3 linked regions of the Kluyveromyces lactis genome follow. The protein of the gene in region 2 purifies or fractionates together with the protein of the main gene of each other region. This does not show direct contact. Links are inferred from orthologs where the notes say so. Each region holds a gene or a part of one and is shown on either strand. Other genes may lie near its edges. The genes, in order: TAF12, TAF2 and TAF8.

Region 1 (3,088 bases), on a different chromosome or scaffold from region 2:
GGTAGCCCATCAGTAAGTACTTCCACCTCATTAGTTTTCAATGTCCATATTTGAATATTCTCCAGAGCACCTGTAATTAGCTTGCCAGACGTTGAGTTCGTAGCTGGAAGATAGATCGACTGATTTGAAGTAGAAATTAACCCAAAAAGACCACTTTGTTCAAAACGTTGATACGATTTAACCATTGTGTATCAATTTAAACTCCACACTGCGGATAATAGTAGCAATAACTGATATCTTACACAGGGTTATAGTATATAAGTTTTGTTATACTTGTTCTTGAACAGCATTATGCGATGAGATGAGATGACCTTCCATAGTTTTTAACGTTTTGGAAAATTTTGAAAAATACAACTTGAAGCCATGAAAAAGAAAAGGGTGGTTTATACATATATGAGACAGGCAGAATAGGACAAAGAGTATTAAGAATCAGTTTCCCTGGACTTGATTATGCATTGTTGTAGGTACTCATCCACTTCTCCATTTTCAATATTTTGAGGAATTGTTACATTAATAGATATATGATATATGATGTATAATATATGCATCAAATTAAGTCTGTTTGAATGAATGAACTTGTTTAAACAGTGGTAATTTATCCATTTCACTTCTTTTCGGGATGTGTACGTGCAGTTTTATTGTTATTGATTGCATTTACCATTTGATTGTACGAAGGGGTTGGATTCCATTTCTTGGTGCTACGGATTTCATCGTTGGCAAACCCTGGGATTCTGATATTCCAATTACGTTCCAGATGCATTTGGATGTCTCTTACGTCGAGTGAATCGGATTTTCTATGTTTTGCCAATTTACAGGCGAAATTCGTAACATTAGTAATGAAATCGTCTGCTAGATCGAGTAATAGCTCTTCCACATCACCATCAATGGTGGTTTCACCATCACCTTCGTCTATACCCACCGTTTTGACGAGTTCACGGAGCTTTCTTTTAGACATCACACGCTCAGTATCGACCTCATATGGCGGTAGTTTGGTCATAACAGGTGTAGTTAGCGCTGGCGCGTTCATACCACTACCGCCTGTTATCGTAGGTCTGTTGCTTCTGTATGACACTGAAACTGTTGGGGATGCGGTGACATTTTCACTTATTGGTATCGATGGGTTTGGTTGCTTGAAGATTGGTGGTCTTGTATTGCTTTGTGCTGTTTGATTTGCAGCTGCATTCACCGTTGTCACCTGCATTGGGGACGATTTGTCAGAAGCTGTGTTATTTGGTGCGGCAGCTGCTGAGCTCGGGTTTGCGTTTGTTGCAGTTGCAGTAGTTGCAGCGGTCTTTTGAATTGGTATATTTTGTCTTTGCGCCATAGCATTTGGAGGACTACCACTCGAAGCTTTATTCAAACTTGTTGGAATTGGTGTACCGGTGTTGGTTCCTGGAGTAGAAACACCAGCCTGAGGTCCCGGTGTACCTGCATTTGCAGCTACTGTACCCTGTGACTTAGCAGCATTAGCTTTTTGTTGCTGTGCTTGTAGATATCTTCTTAAGTCAGCATTAGTTTGAGAACACTCAATGTAAAACTTTCTTCTGTCCTCTTGATATTTCTGTTGTAATGTCGAATACTGGGCACTCAATGCCCTGATTTTCATTAATAATTCATTCCTGTTAACCTCTAATTGCTGCACCGATAGACTGTTACCTCGTCTATTCCTGATCTCTTGGTCCAAAACACTAATATTTCTCTTCAAAAAGTTGAATTCTCCCTTGATATTCTGACCGTCATCCTCATACTTTTGAACCAATCTATTGTAAGCTTCACGCTGTTGAGGAGTTAATAAGACCTTTATGTTATTCGTCACATTATTGGAACTGGCGGTAGCTTGTTGTTGCTGCTGCTGTTGCTGCTGCTGTTGCTGCTGATCCATGGATTTAACATTCGTGGCATTATTATTTACAGCTCCCTGTGCTCCAGCCTGCGCTTGGGCCTGCTGCTGCCTCTGTTTACTGTAAGCCTCGTACAAAGCCTTAATACGGGCCGCTTGTCTCAATAGCTCTTTCCCTTCCTTGGTATCTACACCAATTCGCTTAGCTTCGTTAACTAACGATTTTAGTCTATCCGCCAATTGCTGCATAGAAGCTGGCGTGAGGTTCTGCAGCTGTACATTACCTGCTTGGCCTGACATTGTCCGTATCTTGGTTCGTAATCCGAAATGCACACCGCAAGCCCACTTTAAGTGTCGAAATACCCTCGTGCTGGCCTTCTTTGCCCCCGTTTTGCCCTTGCTTTAACCTCGCGGCAACTACTTTCGATTGTTATTCACTTGTTGATCTTTGAAATATTTTTGAATTTTGATGCTGAAAGGAATAGGAAGACAAGTGTTACCCTGACAACATACACAATGCGTATATATGAATATATGTATCTATGAATATGTTCATAAGCGATATAGGTGTTTGCGCTGCATCACAGCTTGTCATTTTCTTCCAAGAATTCGTAATATTCGTCTATAAGTAGCGGCCAAGCAGCCATTTCATCATAGTTTTGTTTTAAACTTTCGTCATTGGGGTATTGTTCAATGAACTTATAGAACATCAACCATATATCGTTTGAGATGTTCTGTTTCCTTGGATCCGAGTCGTCAGAATTGATGAATTCAAGCCATGAATTAAGTCTCTCCTTGGAGATTTTCAACGCATATTTATTGTCTTTAAAGAAAATATTCCAGTATTCTATTGCGACATCTTTAGGTAAATGACGAGATCCCTCGTCTGTATTCAATGGGAAAGTGTAGGAATAGATTGATTTGAAATAATCTTTGTCCGTCTCCAGTCTCTCTTCTAGCGTATGTAAATAGGCTTTCATCTTTCTTAAAGTGTCGCAACATAAATCTGACCAGGCATTTAGGAATTGTTCTCGAGATACTGGTTTTGTTAAATCGTCGATGCATAGCATTTGAGAAAGACATAGCGTGATTGGGTCCTCTATCGATATACCGAGGTCTTCAATAAACCGTATTAGCCCAGAAGAGTCCCATTCTGTTGCCGAAACGCCATTCGAGTACTTCTCAAAGATAGCCACTAAACTGGGATTGTAAGATTGACGCATACCTCCAATGGTATCCACATTATCA
Region 2 (3,765 bases):
AATTAATAAGCACTATATCTTCGTTGGCATTTTCCTCCTCCTGTGTATCCTCATTGATTTCCTCTTTCGCTTCCTTTGTCACTCTATTAACCTTCCTTCTTCTCTTTAACCTTTTATATTTAGTGTTATACTGAACATCCAATTTTGTAAATACATCCTTTAGTTCAACAATATGTTCATACGGAGTTCCGTCAGCTTCATGGATTCTGATTGTCATGGATCCGGTGAACACCTGAGTAGGAGATTTGTCTTGATCTTGCAAATATTCCATAGCACTAGAATTGAAATTTTCTTTTCCAACGATTTTACCTAATCCTAATTCCTGCATCTGAACTTGTCTGATGCCCATTTCAACTGCCATTCTCTTTTTGTTAAATCTTTGCGTTATGCGGAATATTGGAACACCGGATCCGTATACCCATTGCTTGAAGAAAGTTTCGAGTCTATTTTTGTTCACACGTTCACACACTCTCTGAAAATGGGTACTAGACAATGAGTTATTGGTCAATTCCCCTGACATAGCTTGTAAGTATATTTTGGGCAATACTCGGGACATACCGAATGACCTTTCTGTTTTTGTCATTCTTCTATCGAGAATAAAAAGCACCATTGGAGCCTTTAATTTTATAAAATTAATTTCCTTTGATAGAGTTGATATAGGTAAAGAAGCAGAATCAAAAGTAGTTCCGATTGGCTGTTTTTCCCAATCCTGTTCAACTATGGCTTCCGATGCCATTTTGATCCTGAATTTGTACTCATTGACACCCATGAGCTTTCGTATTAATTGTAATACCATGTATCCCGCCATGCCAACAACGCACCATAAATCATTCAATTCTAGAGGAGTGATGTTAACGCCAGACCATTGGTTTGCTAAACCCCATGCAAGTGTGTTGGTTGTAGGATAAATTAAGTCTATAATTTCTGGAGGATATAGCATTCTGGAATTATAAAAGGTGGCGCTTGTGAAATCCATCAGGTCAGTCGTTAAAGTTGGTAAAAACAGCAAAGAGTACGAGGTAAAAGGATATGAACCAAACTCTTTAGAATAGAAATCCATAATTTCCTGGCAAACAAGAGTAGAATTGAGGATAGTTTTTTCGTTCAAATCGACAGTTGGCAATGTGTAAACAAATATAGGAATTTCATCACGAGGCTCATCAGCTAACACTTGCTCCTGTTGCGGTATTTTAAATTCATCCATCTCTTCATCTTCATCGGCCTGTAAGATTGAAGGTAGTTCTATAGTCTGGAAGGCACCGATAGCCCAACCGATGTGGTGTGGGGCCACGGGAGTGAATATCTGGAAGGAAACTGTCTTCTTTGCCATATCCATTGGATGGGCAGTTACCTTTCTCGTTGCCATTTCAGAACATACGACCACGATTTCTCTATTCAGATCTTCGTTTTGGATAGTCCCATCCTCATCCTCATCATCCTCTTCCTCTTCATCTTCGTCATCTTCATCATCGTCTTCCTCCTTCATATGTTCATCATTCGCATTCAAATTGGATCTCCTATCTCTTGCAGTCCTCTTTCGTAGGTTTCTTGCACCAACAACTTTAGTGGTTCCTATGTCCCGCACCCTCTTAGGTACTGATATTTCTAAATCCCATGTGCATTTCTCATCCAAGGAGTCTATGCATGGTAACCAATGTGATACAGAACTATTTAGTTCTGAGTTTGTTGTATAAGCATTCCAAAGATGAGGTTCAGGGGATATGGTATCAAAGCAAACACCTGTGTGTGGATGGTCCAATTCGTAGTCTACCCGTAAAGTCAACGGGGTATATATTGTGTCGTTAGGGAAAGTGCTCGGGGTGTTTCTTAACGAGGGAGTTATACCGGAAGTACCAGCAGCGGTTCCTAAGTACGCAGATAGGGTGTTTACGTCATGCGGCAGAATCTTCACAGAGGAGGGCACTTTAACTAATAGCTGCGATTTGGATGAACCTTCAGGATTATGGTTAAACTCTGAAAATTTCTTTCTTAATAGATGGCTCTGTTCTATGCCGTTACAGTTGTAGAGTATATCATCCTCAGAATTATTCAAGTAAGAGTCTGACAGTTTTTTGTAAGGATCATCATGCACAAAATTATCCAACCGTCTGTTCTCAAAGATGATATCCTTTATTCTCATATTCTTACAATCCAAAGCTATATATTCGAGATTAGGGGTCAATGGCATAATAATCATCTCAGTAGTACCCACTATACAGTTCTTCGAAAGGTCCACATCTATCTGTACTCTCTGATGGGCAACCTTGAATTGTGGTCCAAATTGTTGTTCCACTACTGGGTACGCCGAACCTGGTGTCTTAGGTGTCGATTTCATTTGTACCATATTCTGTGTTTGAAATTCAAAGTACAGAAGTACCGCAAATAGAATCGTAGTTTAGTGCTTAAGTTTCAACGTCTGATCAATTCCGTCTGGTGCCTCTATCTATATCACGTTTCGAAGCATCTCTAAGTATACCTTCAATATCAATTCAACGTATATAATAATAATATCATATACAGATGCATATATATTATTCAAATTTCAAGATTTTGTTTGTTTGAATATTGACCATGCGAGAAATTTATCCGGGTAATGCGGGTTAGGATGACAAGGCATCAGCGGCGGTTGAACATTCATTCATTCATTCCACCTTGAACCACGTGATTGTCTTTCTCTTTGGAAAGCTGTTAATACCTGGCGACACTCTCTCTACCCACTCTTCAGGTAAAAATGGCATGTGGTTGGAATAGGAAAAACGGGAATTTTGCCCGTATCTCGAAACCACGGTACCGTGTTAGGGGCGATTGACACAGCAATCCATTTCTCTTCGCATTACATGATCCATAAGTGAAGTGTTATGGGTTGCAGTATAGCATGCTTAGTTTATCAGATGATGGAAGCTCCGGGTGGTCACAAGATGAAAGGATGTATTAACCGGAATTTTTTGAATGTCTTCTGTCTATCTCTCTATCTATCTATCTATCTGTTTCTTGTTTGTAATCATTAAAAACGCTGCATGGGTATCTTCTTACGAGTTTTTGCAACGCAATCAGGAAAAACCACTACCGAACATCAAAACCTTTATAAGGTTACAGCAATTGCAAAGGCGACGGTATCGACTTGACACTTCAATTGCACCTTTATAGTATATAGTAGGGGAGGTATTACCATTAAATTATATCTTCGCTATTCGTAAAGTCTATACCAATTTCTTTCTGAAGGTCACTGAAGAGATCGGATAGGTTGATAAGACAGCATCAAGTGAAGATGTCAAAGCCAGTTGTTTTAAGATTAGGTCAGGTTAAGTACGCTCAAAAGGCATGGGAAGAGCTTTCAAAGATTGCACAAGTTATTCCAATTGACCCATCCCTCACAAGAGCTCAATTCTTAGATCAATGTCAGGATCCGGAATCACCAATTTCTAAGGCTCAAATCTTAACCAGAACGTTCCCAAGTGTTAAGAACACTGGAAGATTTGATGCTGAATTGGCTAAGGCATTGCCGGAATCCGTTGTTGCTATTTGTCACAATGGTGCCGGTTACGATCAAATTGACCCTACGCCATTTGGTCAACGTCACATCCAAATTTCCAACGTTCCAGAGTTGGTCAACAATTCTACTGCCGATACTCACGTTTTCCTATTGCTAGGCGCATTAAGAAACTTCGAGTACGGTCATCGTTTGATGGAAGAAGGTAAATGGCCATCCGGTGGCGCTGCCGCTGGTGCACCAGTTGGTCACGACCCCGAGGGTAAAGTTGTTGG
Region 3 (3,057 bases), on a different chromosome or scaffold from region 2:
CTCATCCTTTACAGAACAATGCCACTCTTTTACAGTTCCAGAGACAGGGGAGTCAAAAGTAGCCACCCGATCCACCCGCTGCTTCTTAGTCTTCTCCTCATACTTCACCAGAACGTCCTGGAAATCCCAATACTCGTAAGCAAATAATCGTTGGCCTTTTTCAACGTGATCACCCGGTTTTACGTACAACTGCGCAACAGTGATGGGATATGGTAGGTCACTGGTCACCTTCACATTAGTTTCGAGTGACATCTTACCGCGCTTGGAATCCCGCTTGACAGCCCGTTCCCTTTCTTGCAACTCCGAAATTCATTGTTATGTCTTCACGTTGGCTTTTATTTAACAGAAATGTTTGTTATTTAAATTCAAATTCGATCGATAATGGATAAACAGATATGAAGAGAGAAGTAAACAGAACATACACAGCATGAAGTATTCTTGCATCGCGTGTATGAGTGGTGTTACATTGATTAGCATTAGGAGAATACAAACGTTACTGACTATACGAATTATGATGTACATAGTTTTGATTCATTAGCTAATATGACTACTTATAATGAAAGTCAAAATATATCAGAATAAATCATTCACGTTAGAATCGTGATCTTGTGATTGATTTTCTAGCAACTCGTCTGTGGCAACTCCCGGTGATGTATGAAGGGCTAATTCTGATTTAGCTTCTTCTGATCCTGCTTCTGGTGCATCTTCCGATATATCTTTCGGCGTCAGACCTGATGCGGATCCCGATGCGACTTCTGAAAGTAAAGGAGTCGAATTAGCGGGGGTAATTGACGGAAGTACATCTTCAAAAGTCTCTGTGCTTTCCATCGGTTTTTCTTCATCTGGTCCGTGCAACAGCTCAGAAGCCAACTCCCCCAGAGTTGAAATGTTAGTATCTGTTATTGCTTGTACCTCTGGCGGTCCCTGCGTCAGAAATTTTTCGTCGTCGTTTTCGTCATCATCTTCGCTGTCTTTGTCCCAGCCATGCAATAGGGGATCAGTTTGTAGGTTATTAAGATCAAGAATCTCTTGTTCGGCCATTTTCTTCTCCTTTTCTATTCTCCTTTGTTCTTGTAAAAGTCTCTCTCTTTCTTCTGCCTCTTTTCTCGCTCTTTCTCGTACTTCTTTGACTCTCGGTATGGAATCTATCAGCCCCAAGTAACTACGCCTTAGCATTGTTTTCAATTGATTTTCAACTGACTTCCTCGATTTGGTACTCCCTTGACCGTAGGGTGAACAGATCATGGCACCTCGTATGAATGGGTTACGTCTCTTATTCGATACTTGGTTTTCTGCCCTTTCAGCCCTTCGTTTTACTATTGCATCTCTCTTCTTACAGTATTCTAACACATTGAAATTCTTCACTGGCGAAAGATTGAATGACTCGATGCCATGAAGGACCGTTGTTGTACCCCATTCTTTATCTGTAGGTATGGTTTTATGAGGGTCAAAGATTAAATCGGTTTCTAACTGACTTTCTTTAATATGTTCAGAAAGGGCAGCATTGTTGGCAGACTGGTCGCTATCTTTATTTAGCGCTACCAGTGGGTCCTGATTGACAACTTGACTAAGCATATTCAACAATGCCTTTTCCGAAAGCCTTCCTTCTTCTAGTAACTTCTTCTTCATCAGCCTCTCATCTGTAATGGGTCTCTTGTACAACGAGGTAAATTTGTACGTATGATCAGGCGGTAGTTCTGGCAACCAACTGGGCACATATTTGTTAGATTTGTTGCTCGAAGGTAACAAATTTAATATATCAACATCTTGCACGAAGAACTCTGAATGTTTAGAACTCAAAAGCTCTTTTTCTTCCAATTCTTTCATGAACTGCTGTTTAACCTTTAGCACAGTTTCGTTCAAGGCATTAGCCTCGTCCTTGAATTTCCCATGTACAAAATTCGATATTTCCACTTGCCCATTCAAATCTTTCAGATCCATACCAATACCTTTAAAGTAGAGGTTCAAATCAAGCTTGGAGATCTTTGTCCTTCGCTGTACTTGAGTTATCTTCTTCAGACTTTGCAATAAATCATCTAACTGTAATAATGAAACATAACAAAGATCGTCAAACGCCAATTGAGATATAACCACATTCTTATTAAGTGTCTTCAATTGCAATAGTACGGCCTGTGCAAACAAGCGTTCCATCGGATTGGCATGAGGTACCTCATTTAGATTAGGTAACTTATCTAGTCGCACACGTCTCTGGTCAGTCTCTATCTTGGCATCGTTTTTATCTTTATCCTCAGAAGTCGTCATATTCAGTCTCAAAGAGCCAACTAGTACTTTAATATTGTATGAGTGCTTTACTATTCGGTCAGTTTCATACCCATAGGATGAAACTGATTGATTGCTTTAACCCTTAAGAGCTAAGCGTTTGGAGACGTCTCTCGCAATAACTTCAATGCTTCAACTCATTCATTCAGAGTTTTCGAATGGCATAACGTTCGGGTAATACCGTTATTATTTTCACGTGATTTGCGTGAACTGATGTTAATAACATCAAGAGTAGATAAAGTTACACGAGGTGGACGAAAACAACCCGGCGAACATGTTTAAAATAGTTGTGCTGAAGCAGTTGTATCAATTTATGTATTGGATGTATATGGAGTTAAAACAGAAGATAAAAAAAGATATTAATACTAATAACGATATCATAAGAATAGAACCTGTTCTTGGCAAAGACAATCAAAAGAGATGGATCACTGGTTTTGGAATTGAAATGGAAGATCTGGTGGAAATATATCCTCAGGTGGACATATATCGCTGACGTTTGTGGTATCCATCAAACTCTCTCGGGTTTTGTTACAGAGAGAAGGAAGGAGAGAGAAAGAAACAAGAGCGTTAATGCTGAAAAATGTGTAGACTGGGAGAGGAAGAGTTCCTATCGTCGTTAAAATGAGTTTAAAAATAATAATAGTGTGAATAACAATGATAGAAGGGTTGTGTGGGCACGTATAGTGAATTATTTAATTCAATCATACTTCATGTTGGATAATGGAGCGTTTTCACCAAGATAAGTACCGAACACTTTATCCCAGAACCAAGAGGTGA

Evidence for each region.
Region 1: the proteins of TAF2 (region 2) and TAF12 purify together in Saccharomyces cerevisiae (affinity purification with mass spectrometry; 4 studies listed by BioGRID). This does not show direct contact. The link is inferred for Kluyveromyces lactis from reciprocal best matches to the Saccharomyces cerevisiae genes TAF2 and TAF12.
Region 3: the proteins of TAF2 (region 2) and TAF8 purify together in Saccharomyces cerevisiae (affinity purification with mass spectrometry; 8 studies listed by BioGRID, with this or other methods). This does not show direct contact. The link is inferred for Kluyveromyces lactis from reciprocal best matches to the Saccharomyces cerevisiae genes TAF2 and TAF8.

The regions. Positions count from the first base shown.
Region 1 is NC_006040.1:1,375,981-1,379,068, reverse strand, and holds TAF12 (Taf12p), read right to left. Parts: upstream 2,141-3,088; coding exon 605-2,140; downstream 1-604. Other genes in the region: snoRNA-binding rRNA-processing protein DIP2, read right to left, coding at 1-185; NEDD8 ligase DCN1, read right to left, coding at 2,422-3,088. UniProt on the Saccharomyces cerevisiae protein: Functions as a component of both the DNA-binding general transcription initiation factor complex TFIID and the transcription coactivator SAGA complex.
Region 2 is NC_006039.1:177,123-180,887, reverse strand, and holds the start of TAF2 (transcription initiation factor TFIID subunit TAF2), read right to left. Parts: upstream 2,345-3,765; coding exon 1-2,344. Other genes in the region: GOR1 (glyoxylate reductase), read left to right, coding at 3,269-3,765. UniProt on the Saccharomyces cerevisiae protein: Functions as a component of the DNA-binding general transcription factor complex TFIID. Binding of TFIID to a promoter (with or without TATA element) is the initial step in pre-initiation complex (PIC) formation.
Region 3 is NC_006040.1:143,367-146,423, forward strand, and holds TAF8 (Taf8p), read right to left. Parts: upstream 2,263-3,057; coding exon 574-2,262; downstream 1-573. Other genes in the region: FCP1 (protein serine/threonine phosphatase), read right to left, coding at 1-252; SCS7 (fatty acid alpha-hydroxylase), read right to left, coding at 2,978-3,057. UniProt on the Saccharomyces cerevisiae protein: Functions as a component of the DNA-binding general transcription factor complex TFIID. Binding of TFIID to a promoter (with or without TATA element) is the initial step in pre-initiation complex (PIC) formation.